4 linked regions of the Drosophila melanogaster genome follow. The protein of the gene in region 4 purifies or fractionates together with the protein of the main gene of each other region. This does not show direct contact. Each region holds a gene or a part of one and is shown on either strand. Other genes may lie near its edges. The genes, in order: dpa, Psf3, Cdc45 and Sld5.

The links.
Region 1: the proteins of Sld5 (region 4) and dpa purify together in Drosophila melanogaster (affinity purification with western blotting; 2 studies listed by BioGRID, with this or other methods). This does not show direct contact.
Region 2: the proteins of Sld5 (region 4) and Psf3 purify together in Drosophila melanogaster (affinity purification with western blotting; 2 studies listed by BioGRID, with this or other methods). This does not show direct contact.
Region 3: the proteins of Sld5 (region 4) and Cdc45 purify together in Drosophila melanogaster (affinity purification with western blotting; 2 studies listed by BioGRID, with this or other methods). This does not show direct contact.

The regions. Positions count from the first base shown.
Region 1 is NT_033778.4:7,496,185-7,501,920, reverse strand, and holds dpa (disc proliferation abnormal), read left to right. Parts: upstream 1-1,775; 5' UTR 1,776-2,146; coding exon 2,147-2,219; intron 2,220-2,283; coding exon 2,284-2,594; intron 2,595-2,653; coding exon 2,654-3,582; intron 3,583-3,642; coding exon 3,643-4,014; intron 4,015-4,075; coding exon 4,076-4,442; intron 4,443-4,511; coding exon 4,512-4,964; intron 4,965-5,024; coding exon 5,025-5,120; 3' UTR 5,121-5,219; downstream 5,220-5,736. Other genes in the region: didum (dilute class unconventional myosin), read right to left, coding at 1-131, 197-1,010, 1,413-1,442; CG1620 (uncharacterized protein), read left to right, coding at 5,660-5,736. UniProt on the Drosophila melanogaster protein: Acts as a component of the Mcm2-7 complex (Mcm complex) which is the putative replicative helicase essential for 'once per cell cycle' DNA replication initiation and elongation in eukaryotic cells.
Region 2 is NC_004354.4:10,382,798-10,387,546, reverse strand, and holds Psf3 (partner of Sld five 3), read left to right. Parts: upstream 1-1,685; 5' UTR 1,686-2,493; coding exon 2,494-2,596; intron 2,597-2,664; coding exon 2,665-3,059; intron 3,060-3,120; coding exon 3,121-3,261; 3' UTR 3,262-4,194; downstream 4,195-4,749. Other genes in the region: flw (flapwing), read right to left, coding at 984-1,035.
Region 3 is NC_004354.4:1,027,754-1,032,321, reverse strand, and holds Cdc45 (cell division cycle 45), read left to right. Parts: upstream 1-1,765; 5' UTR 1,766-1,994; coding exon 1,995-2,905; intron 2,906-2,957; coding exon 2,958-3,774; 3' UTR 3,775-4,031; downstream 4,032-4,568. Other genes in the region: CG14630 (uncharacterized protein), read right to left, coding at 212-798; Rpp21 (ribonuclease P/MRP subunit p21), read right to left, coding at 869-1,253, 1,313-1,479; CG3021 (uncharacterized protein), read right to left, coding at 4,172-4,568.
Region 4 is NT_033777.3:26,055,128-26,058,366, reverse strand, and holds Sld5 (Sld5), read left to right. Parts: upstream 1-1,819; 5' UTR 1,820-1,875; coding exon 1,876-1,986; intron 1,987-2,046; coding exon 2,047-2,500; intron 2,501-2,558; coding exon 2,559-2,680; 3' UTR 2,681-2,710; downstream 2,711-3,239. Other genes in the region: Tcs6 (Threonyl-carbamoyl synthesis 6), read left to right, coding at 180-214, 278-578; PIG-P (phosphatidylinositol glycan anchor biosynthesis class P), read left to right, coding at 544-1,020; CG14543 (uncharacterized protein), read right to left, coding at 1,059-1,520, 1,585-1,710; Cmpk (Cytidine/uridine monophosphate kinase 1), read left to right, coding at 3,031-3,239.

The sequences.
Region 1 (5,736 bases), on a different chromosome or scaffold from region 4:
AGCGATCTGTTGAATGGAGAAGCCCAGAACTGTCATGGCCTGCACGGTTTCGTTAAACTGCTCCGCATCCGAAACTCGTTCAATTTCAGGAGCGCCACCCATGTTCAGAAACTGGAATTTGTCCTGGTGATCTTTGAGAGAATGGAAATATTACTTCATTTTCTAAGCTGAAATAGGAGGGAGCTTCCAGACATACCCAGCACCAGTTCAGGGTACTTCGATCGCGCCGCGCACAGCTGATAGAATATGTGATAGTTGCGCTCTCCCTGGGCCTGGTACACCACACGTGACTTCTCCAGTAGGTAGGTGTGCATAGTGGCTCCCTGCAGGAACATCACACCCATCTGGTTCCGGAACAGCAGCTTGGTAAACTTTCCAAAGCGGGAACTGTTGTCATTCCGGGTCGTCTTGGCATTTCCGAAGGCTTCCATGATCGGCGAAGATGCCAGCACCTTGCGTTCGACCTGGGTCTCCGACTCGGAACCTCCAACAGCGGCAAAGTACCTCATGGCGTATTTGGCGGACACCGTCTTGCCCGCACCCGACTCCCCACTGACGATGATGCTCAGGTTGCAGTTCTCGCGCTCCAGTTTCGTGTACGCCTCCTCCGCCAGGGCAAAGATGTGCGGCTCCAGATCACCCATAGCATGACCCCGATACGCTCGGATTATGCTGGGCCCGTAAAGAGGCATCTCCGCGTACGGGTTGATGGCCACCAGAATGATGCCGCAGTAGGTGTAGATAATCTGGCGCTCGCAGAAGCGGACACGCAGATTGTGCAACACCCCCGGCTCATGCAGGTAGGACAGGGTGGTCAAGTCGTTCTGTCCCACCAGAATGGCCGGATTGCGCAGTGGAGGCAGATCGCTGCCATCGGCCTTTAGCTTGACCTCTTTCAGTTTTCCGGAGTCCGTACATATCTTCAAGAAGCCGGCGCCCTTGCGGTAGCTCTCCTCCAAGGTGGCGCTCTCCCACACCAGATCCGCATGGGGCACCCAGATCTTGGCGCCCTGCGAAAGAAGTGAGCCGAATTAACAAGTTTTATGAATGGGAGTTATGCCCGATCCCCTCTAGAGACGTCACCCGACCTGGTGTCTTATCAATCGAGCTTATCACACAACCCATTCCCCTGTCGATAAGACACCCGCGAATATTGTATGTAGATGAATCATTTTTAAACATTTCGGGTGCTGCGATGCAGTCATCAATGGCTAATCACCTGCCATGGGAACAAATCAGGGCCAAGAACTGTCGAATGGCCTGCACACACACACACACACACACACACACTTCGGACGGGGGAAATCACGTTATGGGTGCGATTTTATATTGGCACCATTTGCAGACGACACCGACACCGCCGCAATCTGCCACGATGCACTTGTAGGGCATCAATATATACTGTGCAATACCTGCGCGTATAGCATCTCCTCGCTAGACATGGTTCCACTGGCTCCTCCTCCTACTCCAGGTTCCGCTTCGCGCTCCTTCTTTCTCTCCTCTCCTTCTTCCTACTCCGCGTGGGAGTGAGTTGGGTGCATAAATCCCGTTAGGTTTAATTTCCTTGGTGGTACGTTTTTTTTCTGGCTCTGACAGCCTATTTAAATTACCATTTTCGTGGTCTTTTTTTGGGTTTATGTAAATGTACTGTCCTAAATTACTTAAAATTAGCCAGGAATAATTTATAAAAACATTGATAATTTTTAGATCGCAACGCCAAAGTGTGAGAAAAACAAACAAACTTCCGTCCCTGTCACCGCCTGACTGACTGACTTATGTTTTGTTGTTGGCAAAAGGGCAGGGTTGCCAAAGGGCGTGCAGTTTGGGCCAAATTAGAAATGTGTGGTTCTAACCATGGATTAAATTTGAACAAAGTAAAATATCTTGCAAAAAGATTTGTATAATGCCACAGTAACTGAATTTTTTCTTGCAAAACACCCCAGAAAGCACCAATTATTTGGCGCGCAATGCTCTGCAGTTAGATTTTCAGCACTGCTCAACTCACCCATTGGTATTCTTCAACACTGCAACAGTTATTTTCCCGCCAATTTTTAGCTGGTCTGTCCCACCGCATCGTTTTTTGTTTCACAACAGCTACAGTTTTCGCCCAGGACGCACGGGTTAAATAAATATCTTCTCTAAGGAAATGTCAAGCCCCGCTCGTTCGCCCAGTGTTGGAGGTGCGACGCCCAAACAAGGCGCCCGCACACCCACTAGAGGTGAGTATCGACGTGCCACAAAAAGTGTGTTCTGTTTGCAAAGCAAGCGTCTGTCTGCTTACAGGCATTGCGTCGCAAGATGTGGAGACACCCATGCGCATGGGTCCCGGGAGGGCTGTCCGGCCCTCGGACAACATCAGTTTGCCGCCCACCTCGCCGGGAAACATCAGCTTGCCAGCCACCAGTCCGGCTCGAGGATTGGGTGCGAACATGAGCGAGATCGATCTGAGTTCGCCGCTGAACTACGGCACCCCCAGCTCGATGGGGTCCATTCGAACCCCTCGTTCCGGAATTAGAGGCACTCCGCTGCGGGCGCGGCCCGATATAAGAACGGACAAGCGCATCCGCCAGGTGGCCATCGGTGGGGGCTCTGGGGTAAGTGTACGCTGGCAACTCATTTTGGGACTTTCAAATTAGTTTAGTCGCTTTTACAGCTCGAACCAATTCCTGAGAAGGGCTCTGAAACCACCGATCCTGTATCGGAATCTTCGCAAGCACCTCAGCTCGTCGTCTGGGGAACCAATGTTGTTGTCAGCCAGTGCAAATCCAAGTTCAAGTCGTTTATTATGCGCTTTATTGACCCCAGTGCCGAGCAGGACGAAATCTCCGAGAATATTGATGTTAACCAGCCACTGTATCTTCAGAAGCTGGAGGAGATTCACACATTGGAGGAGCCCTATCTGAATCTCAACTGTGCCCATCTCAAGACCTTTGATCAGGACTTGTACCGCCAGTTGATCTGCTATCCGCAGGAGGTTATTCCTGGCTTTGATATGGCCATAAACGAGATGTTCTTTGAGCGTTATCCTGCCGCTCTTCTGGAACACCAGATTCAAGTGCGCCCCTTCAACGCGGACAAGACACGCAACATGCGATCCCTAAATCCCGAGGATATGGACCAGTTGATCAGCATTAGTGGCATGGTCATTCGCTCGTCGAACGTCATTCCCGAGATGCGCGAAGCCTTTTTCAGTTGCAACATCTGTTCCTTCAGCACAACCGTCGAGGTGGACCGCGGTCGCATTAACCAGCCCACGCTCTGCACCAACTGCAACACGAACCACTGCTTCCGTTTAATCCACAATCGATCGGAGTTTACGGATAAGCAGCTTGTCAAACTTCAGGAGTCTCCAGATGACATGGCGGCGGGACAGACTCCGCATAATGTGCTTTTGTATGCTCACAACGATCTGGTGGACAAGGTGCAGCCTGGTGATCGCGTCACGGTCACAGGCATCTATCGGGCGACGCCACTGAAGACTGGAGGCCTCAGTTCGTCGGTAAAAAGTGTGTATAAGACGCACGTGGATGTGGTTCACTTCCGGAAGGTGGACAACAAGCGACTGTACGAGGATGAGGAGGGGTAAGTCTTGCATTTTATTACTGGTTAGAATAAAATTTGATAATTTTAATTACCTACCAGTAAGGATCACATCTTCCCGCCAGAACGCGTTGAGCTGCTACAATTGCTGGCCAAGAAACCGGACATCTACGACCGCTTGGCCAGGGCCATTGCCCCATCTATTTACGAGAACGACGACATCAAGAAAGGCATCTTGCTGCAGCTCTTTGGTGGCACCAAGAAGAAGCATGCAACTCTCGGCCGCCAGAATTTCAGATCGGAAATTCACCTGCTGTTATGCGGTGATCCGGGTACTTCCAAGTCCCAGATGCTGCAGTACGTCTTCAACCTCGTGCCAAGATCACAGTACACCTCCGGTCGCGGTTCTTCGGCCGTCGGTTTGACTGCCTATGTGACCAAAGATCCGGAGACTCGCCAGCTGGTTCTGCAAACGTAAATCTAAAAGCTTGAATCAGATTCGAATTTAGGTTGTAATCTTATGGCTTGTTTTCAGAGGTGCACTGGTTTTGGCCGATAATGGAGTTTGCTGCATTGACGAGTTTGACAAGATGAACGACTCGACACGCAGTGTGCTGCACGAGGTGATGGAGCAGCAGACACTGAGTATTGCCAAGGCGGGAATCATCTGTCAGCTAAACGCGAGGACCTCGATTCTTGCTGCCGCCAATCCCGCCGAGTCTCAGTGGAATAAGCGCAAGAACATCATTGATAACGTCCAGCTTCCGCACACCCTGTTGTCCCGCTTCGACCTAATCTTTCTGGTCCTGGATCCCCAGGATGAGATCTTTGACAAGCGACTGGCCAGCCATTTGGTATCTTTGTACTATGTGACGCGTCATGAGGAGGAGGATACCATGTTTGTAAGTAGCTTGGATCAATTGTTGGTATTTCTCCGGAATATCTCTGTAACATATTCAATCAATTTTCAGGACATGAGCGTCCTGCGCGACTACATCGCCTATGCCCGCGAACATCTGTCGCCTACGTTGTCGGATGAAGCGCAACAACGACTCATTCAGGCCTACGTGGACATGCGAAAGGTGGGCGCCGGTCGTGGCCAGATCTCTGCTTACCCGCGCCAGCTGGAGAGTCTCATCCGACTGTCGGAGGCGCACGCCAAGGTGCGTCTCAGCAACCAGGTGGAATTGCTGGACGTGGAGGAGGCTTGGCGGCTTCATCGCGAGGCTCTCAAGCAGTCGGCCACGGATCCCCTGTCCGGCAAAATTGACGTGGGCATTCTCACCACCGGCTTATCAACAGCCGCTCGCAAAAAGCGCGCCGATCTGGTGGCAGCCATCAAGGAAAACCTCAAGAAGAAGGGCAAAGTTCTCACAGTTCCCTATCAGAAACTGTTTAGCGATATTAAGGAAGGATCCCAAATTGTAAGTGCTAATATAATATATTTATAATATAAAATCAATGTAAACGATAATTTATTGCAGATGATCACACGCGAGCAATTTGAAGATGCCCTGAAGGAGGTGCAAGATGAGGGCGCAATTGTTGTCATGGGAAAGAACACCATTCGTATTTGTTAATTTTATTACATTTATCTCATTCAAAACCAACCGCAAATTCATTCATTCCTATTTTTAAGCGCAACTACAAAAATGTTTTCAATAAAAAAATTTCAAATTATTCGTTTCTGTTTTATCAACTAATATGTAAAGAAAAATTGCACATAATTAAATTATTTGGAAAGTTTATATATTGCGGTAGAAAAATAATTGATTGATATTTGAATATAATTTTTTTATTTTTCGAGCAGCTTATAATGTAAAATATATGGACATGTCAACGTGGAAAATGTTGTCAAGCTTGCTAAAATATTGATAAAGTGATTTATACATAAGAAGAGCACATATCACTTAAATTTGAAAAGGCAGAAAAACTGAATCTTAAAATTCGTGTAATTAAGCATTACTTTGGAAAGCCAAACAAAAACAAATTTCGAATATATAGGAGTACCCCAACTAAAAAAGGAATATCCCAGTTAGTGCCGTTTTTTAGCGCATTTGCGCAGGCGAAGTGCAGATATTTTGGCGCTCTGGCTGCTGCCACACTGTGTGTACGGAAAATGATGGAGTTCGGGAAATCGTCGGATCACTCCCAGCACAGCGCTTCCGAGGCGTCGGCGGACTCCGGCAGCCTGGC
Region 2 (4,749 bases), on a different chromosome or scaffold from region 4:
GACAAGCACTAAGCGGCTTAAGCAACCCTCGCAGATGTTGGGTTTTCACCAGGGCAAAGGCATATCGCATTCGAAACCTAGAAGAGGTTGCAAAAATGTAAACTATTTAGCGCTTTTACGCTTTGCAGGAAGGTTGCATGATGACGACGATGACACAGCCCCCACCACCCATTCTAAGCCACATACAGTGGATATCGGCTATAGCGGTCGATACCCAGTAAAAATTATATTGATATTGATCGCTGGATAAAAATATCTTCTTGGGGGCTAGGAAATATAGGATATATCGGTCGTAGATTTCTCAACCGTCTTTAGCGATAGTTGCGTGACACGAACAGCGATCCCACTCCAACGGGCAGTGGGGTTACTTGCGACAAAGCTCCTTATCGAGTAACTCATGTGATTCCGTTCCATTCCTTCGTCGGCGATTTCATAGCTACACATTCTGTTTGAATCACGCCCGTGTTTATCAGCTCGATGACGTCATTGCCAATATAGGCGAAACAAGAAAAAACACAGCTAATAAACCAAAAATCATTTGGGAGACATTAGCGCAGGACAGAGATGGCGTGCTTAACAGCGCGATCACTGTTAGTATTATGTAAACGCTAATGAGCGTAGCGTAGATGCTGTCGCTGTTGTTGTTGTTGTTTTTATGGTTTTTGCTGTTTTTCAAGAGGAGCAATGAAAATCAATTAAAACTAATTGATTCAAGAGTCAAATTCAAACGGTTGCAGCGGCAGCAGCGGTGGCGGCGGCGGCGGTAGAGAGAGGGGCTGTCGCAACAACAAAAAGAAAACCTACTACCATTTAAGCGAACAATGTGCAATAATTAGAAAATGCAATCGCACACACACACACACGCAGATAAACTGTGTAATAAATTAAAATGGGGACAGTGGCGTGGGAGGGGCGTAGAGGGTTTGGGGGGGAGGTTTTGGGAAAGTAGGATTGAAAGAGGGGGAAATTTCGCATCTACTTACTCTCCAGCAGCCGCTGTATCAAGCTGTCCACATTCAGATCGAAGTCGCCCATTTTTCAGCAGCTAAATTGTTCTTCTATTGGCCGCGTTTTGTTGTTGTGGCCAGCTGTTCCAGAATTCCGATTGGAATTTTTGGCGCAACAACTACACGCACGCACACACAAGCACACACACACGCACAGCGACGCCCGTTAGCTTATAAACTTGTATTGTATGCTATTGTAAACAATAAACTTTGTTTAATTCAAATAGTCGTTATATTCTTTTCTCTTTTTTGGTCGTTTTCTTACTTGCCGCAAAAGGCAATTTCACTTTATGCTCTCTTTTTTTCTTATTGAGATTTTGTACGGTGGGCCGCTGATGTTCACTGATGTTGCACGAGGGGCAAGAACAGAAAAAAAAATATATAGACGCACGGCTGATCGACTTTCGGGATCGCAAATCGATCAAGGAATATATAAAATATATATATCTATATAGATGTGTTAGATCTCTGCAGGGGGAGAGGAGCTGAGAAATCGGCTTAACTGAGAATTTATAAACCAGCGTAATCTTTTCTCCGCCAATAACAAAACTCGTCGGACAGCTAGCTGAGTATGACCGTTTGCCGGAAGGCTGAAAAAGTTTTTGGTGGCGGCGGCTTTACAGTTCGACTTTATCGATAGTCCGATGGGCAACGAAGCCAGCCAGTGCTCAGCAACGCGGGAGTTAACTGTCAAAGTCCTTTTTCGCACTTCAACGCTCGTGCCTTCAAACTTCTTACTGTGAACTCAAATCTCGACCGAACAAGTTGTGTGCTCCCTATGATTTCGTTATTAACTGATATTAACTACACACACATTTCTCTAATCCTTGCACACACATAGCTAAATCGAAATGGCTCTTTCGACCATCTGTCCGTTCCTCGTCGCCAACAAGAAAAACTCGAAGCACGCGGCTTTGCTATTTTTGATCTCAAGTGGATTGATGATTTTTAATATGGGCGACTTTATCGACGACTTGATGATCATACGGCTAGATTAAGATCAATTGTTCGAAATTGAAGTCAAAATAGTCATTGCCGGGAACGAAACCTTTATTTTTATTTGTTTTTGAAAGATGCAGATAAGCCTAAGAACTTGCGGAAGAAGTAACCATCTAATTGCAATCGTATCGAATTACTATTACTAAGCTGAGTTCACATGTTCCACATCATTTACAACTTTGAGTAATTATACCCTGACTAGTAATTTTATGTATAAAAAAATGTCAAGTGCAGGCTGCAATTTAAAATTCGCGCTGAAATAAGAGTAATTTTCCGGAAAAACTATTTACATATAATACATATAAATGCTTCGATATATATAGTACATAAAACCTATCGAGTGCCTCGGCATCCAGGCAAACAGCTGTTTCTGCCTCGATAGACCCCGGCAAAATGCATCTAATATCGATAGGCGATAGGTCGCGCACTTAAGAAATTGAATTTACCTAAAGTAAACACCAAACGAATCATAAAGCTGGGCCGCGCAATGAACGGAATGAACTATTTTCCGAACTATTACTCCATCGAGGACATATTCGTGACCCAGGAGAAGGTGGAATGTCGGGTGAACACCAAGCTGCAGCGGATGGGTAAGTGATTGGCTTGGACGGACACGCACATTCTGGCCAGTAATCCGACAATATTGAGTTGCTTGCAGGATTCCTGGACTCCGGCGCGGAATCGGATGACCTGGAGCCCGGCAGGACGGTCAATCTGCCGTTGTGGTACATCAAGGAGCTGAAGGTAAACAATGCCTACTTCACCGTCGCCGTGCCAGATATCTATCGCAATGTGCATAAGGCCGTCTGCGAGGCGGAGACCACGCACATCGAGCTGGGACGCCTGCACCCGTACTTCTACGAGTTCGGTCGCTATCTGACGCCCTACGATCGCAACCATGTCATCGGCCGCATCATCTTCGAAACGCTGCGCCAGAGGGTACGTCATCTCCTGGACATCTCGAAGAGCGACGGACAGGCAGCCAAGGCGGAGCATCGACTGGATAACATCGAGGCCAAGCTGCACGAGGCTGGAGTGCGCACCAACAGTCAGGTGGGTGGCTGTACTACCAGTCAAGTGGGCACGGAGTGTTATATTAATCACATAATTTCAGTACATCGAATGGCTGCAGATGACGGGCAACAAGATTCGCACCTCGGAGCTGGTCGAGGAGCACCAAAAGAAGCGGCGACGTGCGGATCGCAGCGATGACGAGGGCGATGCTCTGCCCAACAGCAAGCGGGCCACCTTGTAACAAGCAGAGTAAAACAACAAAAACAGACCACTGATGTACTGTGGAACTGTAGCAACTTTATTTCGTCCATTCGTTCGGTGGCCATAGGGCAGCCTGACCTCTCAAAAATACACTTTTCATCTACTCTATGCACACGGCTAAATCCATTTGTACAGTTCAAAATACATGGGTTTCGCATACATCTACGCATAACTAAGCATCCAATCCGGGACCGGTCTTAAACAAAACACATAGGAGCTGCCGTTCTGCGTTTTTCATTGACTTGGCAATAAGCCAAAGCGATGTTGCGCCACATTGTTACATATAAATAGTTAACTACATATATAATTATATTCTTGTAAGCTCAATTAAAATTTGATTTTGTGCTAGTTTCACATACAGTTCACAAATAAACATATACACCAATGTCCAGCGTACATAGGTAGTTCGTTTAAAAGCAACCAATATAGGACTTCTATTTCAGGGACCGTAATGCTTATAAGTCTGGATTGTGCTATTTGTTTATTTTGGAAGAGTTTTCAATGGTATAATGTAATGAACTAAGCAAGTTAGGCTAAAGCGCACAAAGTAGGCCAATATACATATATATTATACTCGTAGGTGGAAAATGTAACAAATGTGTTTTTTTTTTCATTTCTTTGATAACCTAATAAAGATAATCTAGTAAAACAAATCAATATCAAATTGTCTGAACATCAGAAGCTTCGCAAAATGAGCATATCGAAATATATCAAACAAGTTTACAGCATTTGAATTTAAACGATAAGATAAAGAAGATACTAATGTAGCACAATTAAAATTCTGATTACTAATATTCTTGTGTCTTGTAAAATATCGTGATATGCAATTCAGAAAATATATATACATCGTTTTCCACTTGACCATATTCTCTACATAGATGGCCGAAAAATGATCTACGGTCCCCGGTTATCTGGTATCTATATATATATCCTTGGTGACTTTCACAATATTAATATATATATATATATGTATATGTATATTAATATATGCACATCGAACATTCCTAGCTGTGCATCTGGCCAATTTCTTTTGGCTTTCATATGCTATGCTCAGTTATCCTTCTTCCGCATTTGCATTTGCAATATATATATTACTAACAGGTTATGGTATTAACACAAGCATTCATTCCCCTCGACAATTTTTCGGGGCGGTTAACAACATCGATTTCGTGGATATAGCGGAAATTGAATGCAACATTAATTCGTTAATGGTTAGGGGCTTGCTTCAAAAAATAAGCAACATAGTTTATTCGCTTTATCTGCATTTGGTTTTAGTTTTGTTCTTGTTCTTAGTTCTTCACTTTCATCTTTATCGTTCTTTTTTTTGTTTTTTTTTTAGTAAATAATGTCTTTATTTAACACTAAGGGTCTGTCCATGGTCTTCGGTTCATTTGTAGGTCGCCATCGTTTCCGCTGCCTTTTTCATCCTCCGTCCGTCATGGTTTTCTGTTTCCGGTTTTCAGTTTTC
Region 3 (4,568 bases), on a different chromosome or scaffold from region 4:
GTAGTATCTAGCGTGAGTAAGTGGTAATCAAATCTTTATCATGAGTACAAATGGACACCTGGTTGAAAATATTTGCCTGATTCTGGCTGTAACAATCAACCGATAGTGATAATATTTAGTGGACTGATAGATAATACAGCTCTCGGCAAATGTGAGTTTTATGACCCTGGTACTGTACGATGAAGTATGTCATCTATTGGTTAATATTTACCCGTAGGTGGTGCGTTTTATGTAGCCAATTCGTTCGGCCAATTTCTTAGCCACATTTATGTCGTTGGGTGCCCCTTTCAGAATGGCGAATCCTTGGACTGCCAGTGCCTCAAGCCAAACTCTCAGGGCTGCATCTTGCTCCAGCACATCCTCGTATTGGAATTCTCTTTTCACATCCTCGAACTCCGTTTTTCCCCAGAGTTGAGCGGGTGGCTTGTAGACCTCCTCCAAGTAATGCTTTCTGCCAGTCTCTCCAAAGTCCCTTTCCCTCAGCCAGCCTAGATCGAAGGTGCTCCTGTGCTTGTCCTGCCAGATGATCTCCAACTGTTTCCTCTCCTTGTTGTAGGCCACTTGGGACACTGGTATATTCAGCGGGCCACGATCCCAGTGACTTTTTCTTGCTCTTGTGGCGGCGTGGAAGCACTCGGCACACTGACAGTTGTCCCTAAGCCAAACTTGGGGGTACTTCAGGAGATTGCCCTGCTCCTCCTGGACTTCTACATAGTCGGGGCATAGTCGCACACAAGCAAATGTGCTCGCCTGCCGAAGAAGGCTCAGCCGAGAAATAAGTTGCCTACAGCTAAGCATTCCAGGCTCAACTGCCGAGCAATCAGGTGATGGCACAACAGGCAGGCTGGCTGATAAGCAAAGCTTCAGCTTATCGCTCGTCTTTCTCTTTGGGGAGCGAGACCACTTGCACTATGGATTGCGGCTGCTCCAACCAGCAGTCTCTTTGACTGTTCGCCGCAAAGCTTCGCCGGCCGCAGCAGAGTGAGCACTCTAAGAAAAAAGAGACCTGTTCAGTACTTTCTTGGATTTGCTCCTCGGATTCCTCCTGGTTGGTGTTCCCTGTTTTCCGGCTTCTGGGCTTCTTGCGCTGCCTGCGATGGCGCTTTTTCTTCGTTTTGACTGCTCCGTTCGATTGAGCTTGTGCATCAGTCTTGGCCTCCTGTGCTCCTTCCTCCACATGCAGCTCCGTATTCACTCCGGGAATCAGGGGAAGGAAACAGCGCCTGCACAGGGAACGCTTCACGGCCGGGGCCCTTGAAACCAGTTGACGCCATGAATTATTTGCCCATACTCCACTGGAGAAGCCACTTACATGTGCATGATAGCCTTGGTGCCCACATTGCGGCAGAGTTTGCCATAATAGGCGGCCAATTTTGGTTGATTGCCTACTGCCATTAAATTCGAGGCCTGGAACAGGTAGTTCATGCGTGAGGAGATGGCCCGCTGGGTCAGGTGCTTCATCTTGTTGTCCCTGCTCATATTCTGAGGCTTTTGTCGCACAAAGCTGGTCGACTGGTAGACTTTCGTTTTTGTGGCAATTCAAAACACATGGGCGTCGCGGTGTGACCGTATCTGGAGCGCCAAGATATTGCTCCTACTGCAATAGCAGCAACTGCAAAGAGCTCTCAAAATTCAACATTATGTGATTATAATTTCGGTTTTTGGCAGCTCAAAATTTCTGGAAATTCGCAGAATATTCTTTTCCCAGCAACGATTGTATTTCCGCGCCATTCCATTATTTCACACTGGTCACACTGGCTAAGCCAGCTGTTTCCCGCGTTTTTGATTCGCCAATTGCGATTGCCAGAAAAGCAAAAGTGGAGCGGCAGTGGGAAGCTGGAAAATAGCGCAAGCCGCAGGGAAACCCTCAAAATGCAACGCACTGCACTCATGTAGAATTCTACTTTGCATCGTAAGCGATTGGAAAGAGACCGTTGTGTCTAGACGTAGACAGATTAGGCAGACGATTGGGATTCCCGCCAGAAGTGTTCACCATGTTTGTCCAGGATCTGCGCAACGACTTTTACCGCCAGCTGGTTGGCAAGCGCATCTTGATCGTGGTCAACTACGACATCGATGCCATCTGCGCCAGTCGCATCCTGCAGGCCTTGTTCAAGTACGATCACATGCTGTACACCGTGGTGCCCATAATGGGCGTTACGGGTCTGAAGCGGGCCTATGGAGAGCACCAGGGCGACGTTAAGTACGTGGTGTTGGTGAACTGCGGCGGCTGTGTAGATATTGTGGAGCTCCTGCAGCCGTCGGACGACGTGACCTTCTTCATATGCGATTCACATCGCCCGTTGGATGTGTGTAACATCTACAGCGATCGGCAGGTGTGCATCTTGGGGGATGCCTCCTTGGAGGAGAATATTCCAGCGTTCGAGACAATTTTCTATGACTCTGAAGGTGAAGACGAGGATGAGGACGAGTCCTCTGACACGGAACAGCAGCACGACGACAGTGGTGCCGGGGAATCGGACCAGGAGGATCAGGCGCCAAGGAGCCGTAAGCTCAGTCGCCTGGAGCGGCACGAGCAACGCATCCTGAAGCAGCGAGCCCGCCGACAGTGGGAGTCTGAGCGCGACAGGATTATGTTCGAGTACACGCAGTTCAGCTACTACGGCAGGTCCGCCGCTTTGATGGTTTTTGAGTTGGCCTGGAAGCTCTCAAAAGACAACATGGACCTGCTCTGGTGGGCCATTGTGGGCATCACGGAGCAGCTGCTGCTGGGCAAGATCGAGAGTGGAGCGTATACTTTGGAGCTGGAGCAAATCCAGTCGCATGTGTCCCGACTGACGAACAAAACGAATGATCAGAACACGATGAGTGCCTCCAAGATAACCTTCGAGAATGATTTGCATCTGGTCTTGTACCGCCACTGGCCCGTCACGGAATCCATGAGGTGAGCATTGACAGTGTATTCTATGCCATTTAATCATGTAGTATAATCGTAGGTATTCCCGCTACTCCTCATGCCAGCTGAAGCTGTGGACACTGCGCGGAGAGAAGAGATTACACGAGCTGCTGCTCGAGATGGGACTTCCCTTGGTGCACGCCCGCCAAACGTACGGAGCCATGGATTTGGTGTTGCGCAAGGAGTTCTTCTCGATGGTGGAGCGCCTGGCGGAGAAGTACGACATAGCGGACATAGTTTACGGCACCTTTACGCTGAGCTACGGCTACCGCAGCAGATATGCTGCGGCGGACTACGTTTATGCCCTGCTCGCCATCATGGAGTCCGTGAAGAAGCACAAGACTCCGGAGGATTGCTTTCTGGAGGCCTCGGATGCTTTGAGTCGTCAGCACAAGCAGCTGCTGTCTGCAGGCATCGACCAGGCGAAGCTTTTGCATGCTGCTGTCTTTCGGCAGGTGCAGAGCAGCTTGGAGGCACGCCAAGTTCATTCAGCGGGCTCCTTTTTCTACTACGTTCTGCAGGAGGAACACGCGTTCTTCTCATACCCCTATGCCCTTGGACTGTTGGCTCGCTTTCTTTTGCGCGGACATGTGGCCACGAGTAGAGCCAGGCAGGCTTCGGACTTGCCGTTGATCGCAAGTTGTCCCCTGAACGCTTCGGAGGGCATGTGCTTGCTGGTAGGCATTGTCCCGGTAAGGGAAGACTCTCCGCGAAACTTCTTTGGCAAGGCCTTCGAGCAGGCGGCGCAAAAGAGTGGAGTCGCTCTATTGCAGGACTTTTTCGAGCCAGCGGTGGTGCAGCTGCGGCAGAGCGACCTCACACGCTTTCTGGACTCCCTCACGGTGCTGTTAGCCTAATCCACGCCGCTTTCTATTCTACCTGCTACCGACACATCCCTGCTCAATCATATTATGTGCTAAGCTAGTTTTATATCGCGAGACCTCACGTGTACACTTAGTTTAAGATTTTACCAAACCCTATTTATGTACGATTGTGTGTTAATAACTTTATCATTGCTCCCAGGACCACAAAATGCAAAATGTCCTTTTTCAAAAACTAATTGTAAATTTGACCTAGAATAATAAATTTAAATTAAAGTGTTTACCATGGAATTAAAAGTGTCGATTCACGTCTAAAATTTACTCGGCGCTTAAATTTATGAAAACGTATTTACCATGCTATCTATACATGCCGTGTTGGCAGTTGGACTGCCTTCTTACATTTGGTTTATTTTCTGGCTCAGAGGAAACATCATTAGCTAACCAGATTTGCGGCTTGAGCTTGCTGCGTCTGTGCGTTTTTTTTCTTTAGGGGATTAGCGCTGAGGATGCGGGCCGAACCCAAACAAGCTGTGTCGTCATAGAATACGGCATATTGTCCTGGTGTAATAGCTCTTAAAGGAGCGTCCAACTCGACAAGAAAAGTGTTACTGGGAGAGATGCTCAGCTGACAGTCCACCAATGGTTTGGTGTGCTGGAATCGAAAGCGACACCTCAAGCTGCCAGTGTCCGAAAGAATCTGTTGGGACTTGGAACACAGCCAGTTGGGCGGATCGACGGCTATGTGGGTGCTGAGAAGGGCGGGATGGTTGTGGCCAGATGCCACATAGATGGTATTGCTTGCGGCCTCTTTCCTGGCCACAAAATAGGGC
Region 4 (3,239 bases):
AACTTAACAAGCGCTTAATTTAAAACATAAATGTGATTATGAAGAATGCTCATTTTTAAACATTTGAATTCTTCAATCAGCTGTTCACGAGATAAACAGCCGGTGAATGCTTCTTCTTCATAAATTGTCATTAACTTTCTCCGTTGACATGTGAGCATTTCAGATTGGTTAAAACTTTTATGATGCCACAAATTGCAAATAAACCAAATGAATCGTAAGTTTAACCATTTAACAAAGAAATAAACATAAATTTAGTAATAAATATTCGCCTCATTAGCATAATAAGAGTGCCGTTTGAGACGCCACGATTGGCCGAGATCGCCTACAAAGTCCTCGGTGTCGACCAGGAGCCGCGCCGGAATTTCGTGAAAAAAACTTTGAGCCTGGAGAACGATGTTCTGGTTGTGCACTTTCAGTCGGATCAAGTGAAGAGCCTGCGCACTGCCATCACCTCCTTCTTTGAGTGCCTGCTCCTGTGCCAGGACACCATCAACCAGTTCGGAGACTCCAAGAAAGAGAAACTAATCCCCGAGAGCAACGACAATGCCGGAACACACTCCAGCTCCGACTCCCCATAGGGCGGTCTATGGTTTCGCCTTCTATATGCTGTTCACGGTCCTCTTCCTCGTATACGTGACTTGGGCGCTGCTGCCAGTGGAGTTTGGTCTGCACTCGTATCTGCCGGACAAGTATTTTGCCGTATTTGTGCCTTTTCTGGTGCTGGTCTTCGCCTGGTTCTTTGCCTTCCTCATCTATCCTGCCATAAATCTATCGATGACAGTGGATGTTGATTCCATTGCCTCGGTGGTGGATCCAAAGCTGGCACTGCCCAAGGGGACAGAGTTCACCTCCTGGTCGCAGTTGCAAAAAGGCAAGGTCAGCCAGGATTCCGCATCAAAGAAGGCCTCTCCAGTGAACTGCAACCTGTGCAGGACTTTCCACCAACCTGTGACACGTGCACCTATTCCACCACTGCGTTTTCTGGACCTCCAGGAAGTAAATACAGCGTATTATAACTAAAAAACTAGCAGGTTTCTTTTTAATCATCCCGACGAAATTCATTTTCTTCGCACGGTGGTCCAGCCGTCTTCCGGTTCCACAAACTCCTCAGCCTGCTGCTTTCGTGCCTGCGATCGCGTCATCCGACCACTGCCGCTGGGAGTTTCCTCGTCGCCCTGGCCCATTTCATTATCGTCCTCCTCGTCGCTGTCGTCCATGTCCTCATCGGATGAGGAGTCCCCATCGATGGGTGTGTAGGTGATCTTAACATCCGGACGCAGCCACTCCTTGCCAGCAGGAAGTTTACTCAATTCAGCCTCTATTTGCGGAAACTGGTTCTGCTGGGCCATCAATTTGTAGCGCAGCAGATTCCGGCAGATCTCCGGAATGGAGTCGTCGTCGCAGAGGGTGTTAAACTCCTGGTCCATCAGCTCCTCCAGGACCTCCACCAGTTCGCCTTGCGTGATATTTTCGTTGGACACGCAGTACTGGTAGGTGTAGTCCATGATTTCTATGGCCACCTACAAAACGGACACTCCGATTAGGTTAGAAAAGAAGACGGTTTCAGGGTATACGAGCAACAACCTGTTGGCCATTGCGTCCGCCCATGCCATGCTCCACCGCCAGCCGGAGATCCTGCCAGTGATTGAAGATCTTCTCTACAATCACTCTAAAATTCTTTTGGAATTCAGTTTGTTGTGCGGCTGCCATCGCATGCTTTTGTGATATCGATAACGGTTAGACGTGCCATTCACACGGAGTAAAAACAAATGAAACAGTGATGAAAAACGTCAACTGTATTACTGGAGTGACATTCCCAACGATTCCCAAAATTTGCGCCAAAATCTGCAAAATAATAAACAAATAAATAAAACCATGTCGGATGTAGAAGACGTGCCCGAAACCCAGTTAGAAATCGATGTCAGCGATGGCGCCGGACTGGAGGATGAGGATGATGACGATATGGAACAGATTACAGCTCAGAAGGTAAGGTAAATCGTAACACAGCTTTTTAATACGCAAGTAATCACATTCTGATATCCCTAGGTTCTGGAAATCATAGAAACCGCGTGGATAAATGAAATGTGTGCGCCGGAGATCCTGCCCAGCCAGACGGACATGCTGGAGCTGATGGTCTCCCAGGTGGCCCACATGGAGGAGCAGATGCGCGATCTGGACAAGAACGATTTCCGAGCGGTGGTGCACTCCATGGAACTGGAGAGGGTGCGCTACATAATGGCCAGTTATCTGCGTTGCCGCCTGCAGAAGATCGAAACCTTCACGCAGCACATCCTCAACCAGGAGGAGAGCCGTGAGCCGGATGACAAACGTCTGTCTCCCGAGGAGACTAAGTTCGCCCAGGAGTTTGCCAGTAATGTGGATGAGTACTTCCACAAAGTAGCCACCCAGTACATGCCCAACCAGCAGAGAGGAGAGGCGGAGCAGAGGATTGTGACGCCCAATCTGATGAGCCATGTCTTTCTTAAGGCAAATGTGGCAGGTAATAACCTTTTGTCATCTAATTAAGATAACCGCTTAACTCTTGTTTTGCTTTCCAGTGCCCGCTGTGATCGTGGGCGTCGATGATGAGGAGGTGGACATGGCGGCCGGCTCCCAGCATATTATTCCCTACCAACTAGTGGCCGACTTGATACAAAACAACCAAGCGCAGCTAATTTAAAAGACTTATTTAGCAGGTAATATACATGATAATAAAAAAAATTAAAAATCAAACTCTGCAAAGCTGCATGTTTAAGGGTACATTTAAAAATGTTGTAGAAGAATATTTAAATTAAATTTAATTTATTTAATATCGAACCGGAAGTAAACTGCATAAAATGCCATTCAAATTGGTTCGCTTCCCGCTAAAGCCGGCGCCAGTGTTGCCGAACGGACGCCCGCGAACAGCTGCGCTTGTGCGTGACGTCACAGGGTGTTACGTTTCCAGTGGAAAACAGTGGTGAGGTGTACTGCAGGCGGCATACACATAAACCACGCATTCAATTTGCCTTCAGTTTGGTTCAGTCGTCAATGTGGCGGGCTTTGGCACGAACGACGTTGAGAGCAGTAGCCAACGATTGCGGTTCACCAGGAGTCGGTCTCGCACCATCAGCGCTGACGCAGCACCAATTGCGACATTCCAAGGCCAGCAATAGGTTCATCACCACCACCTCCACAGCCCCACCACACAATATCGGAATCATGAGCGTAGAGAAGCCAAAGATTGTCTTTGTTTTGGG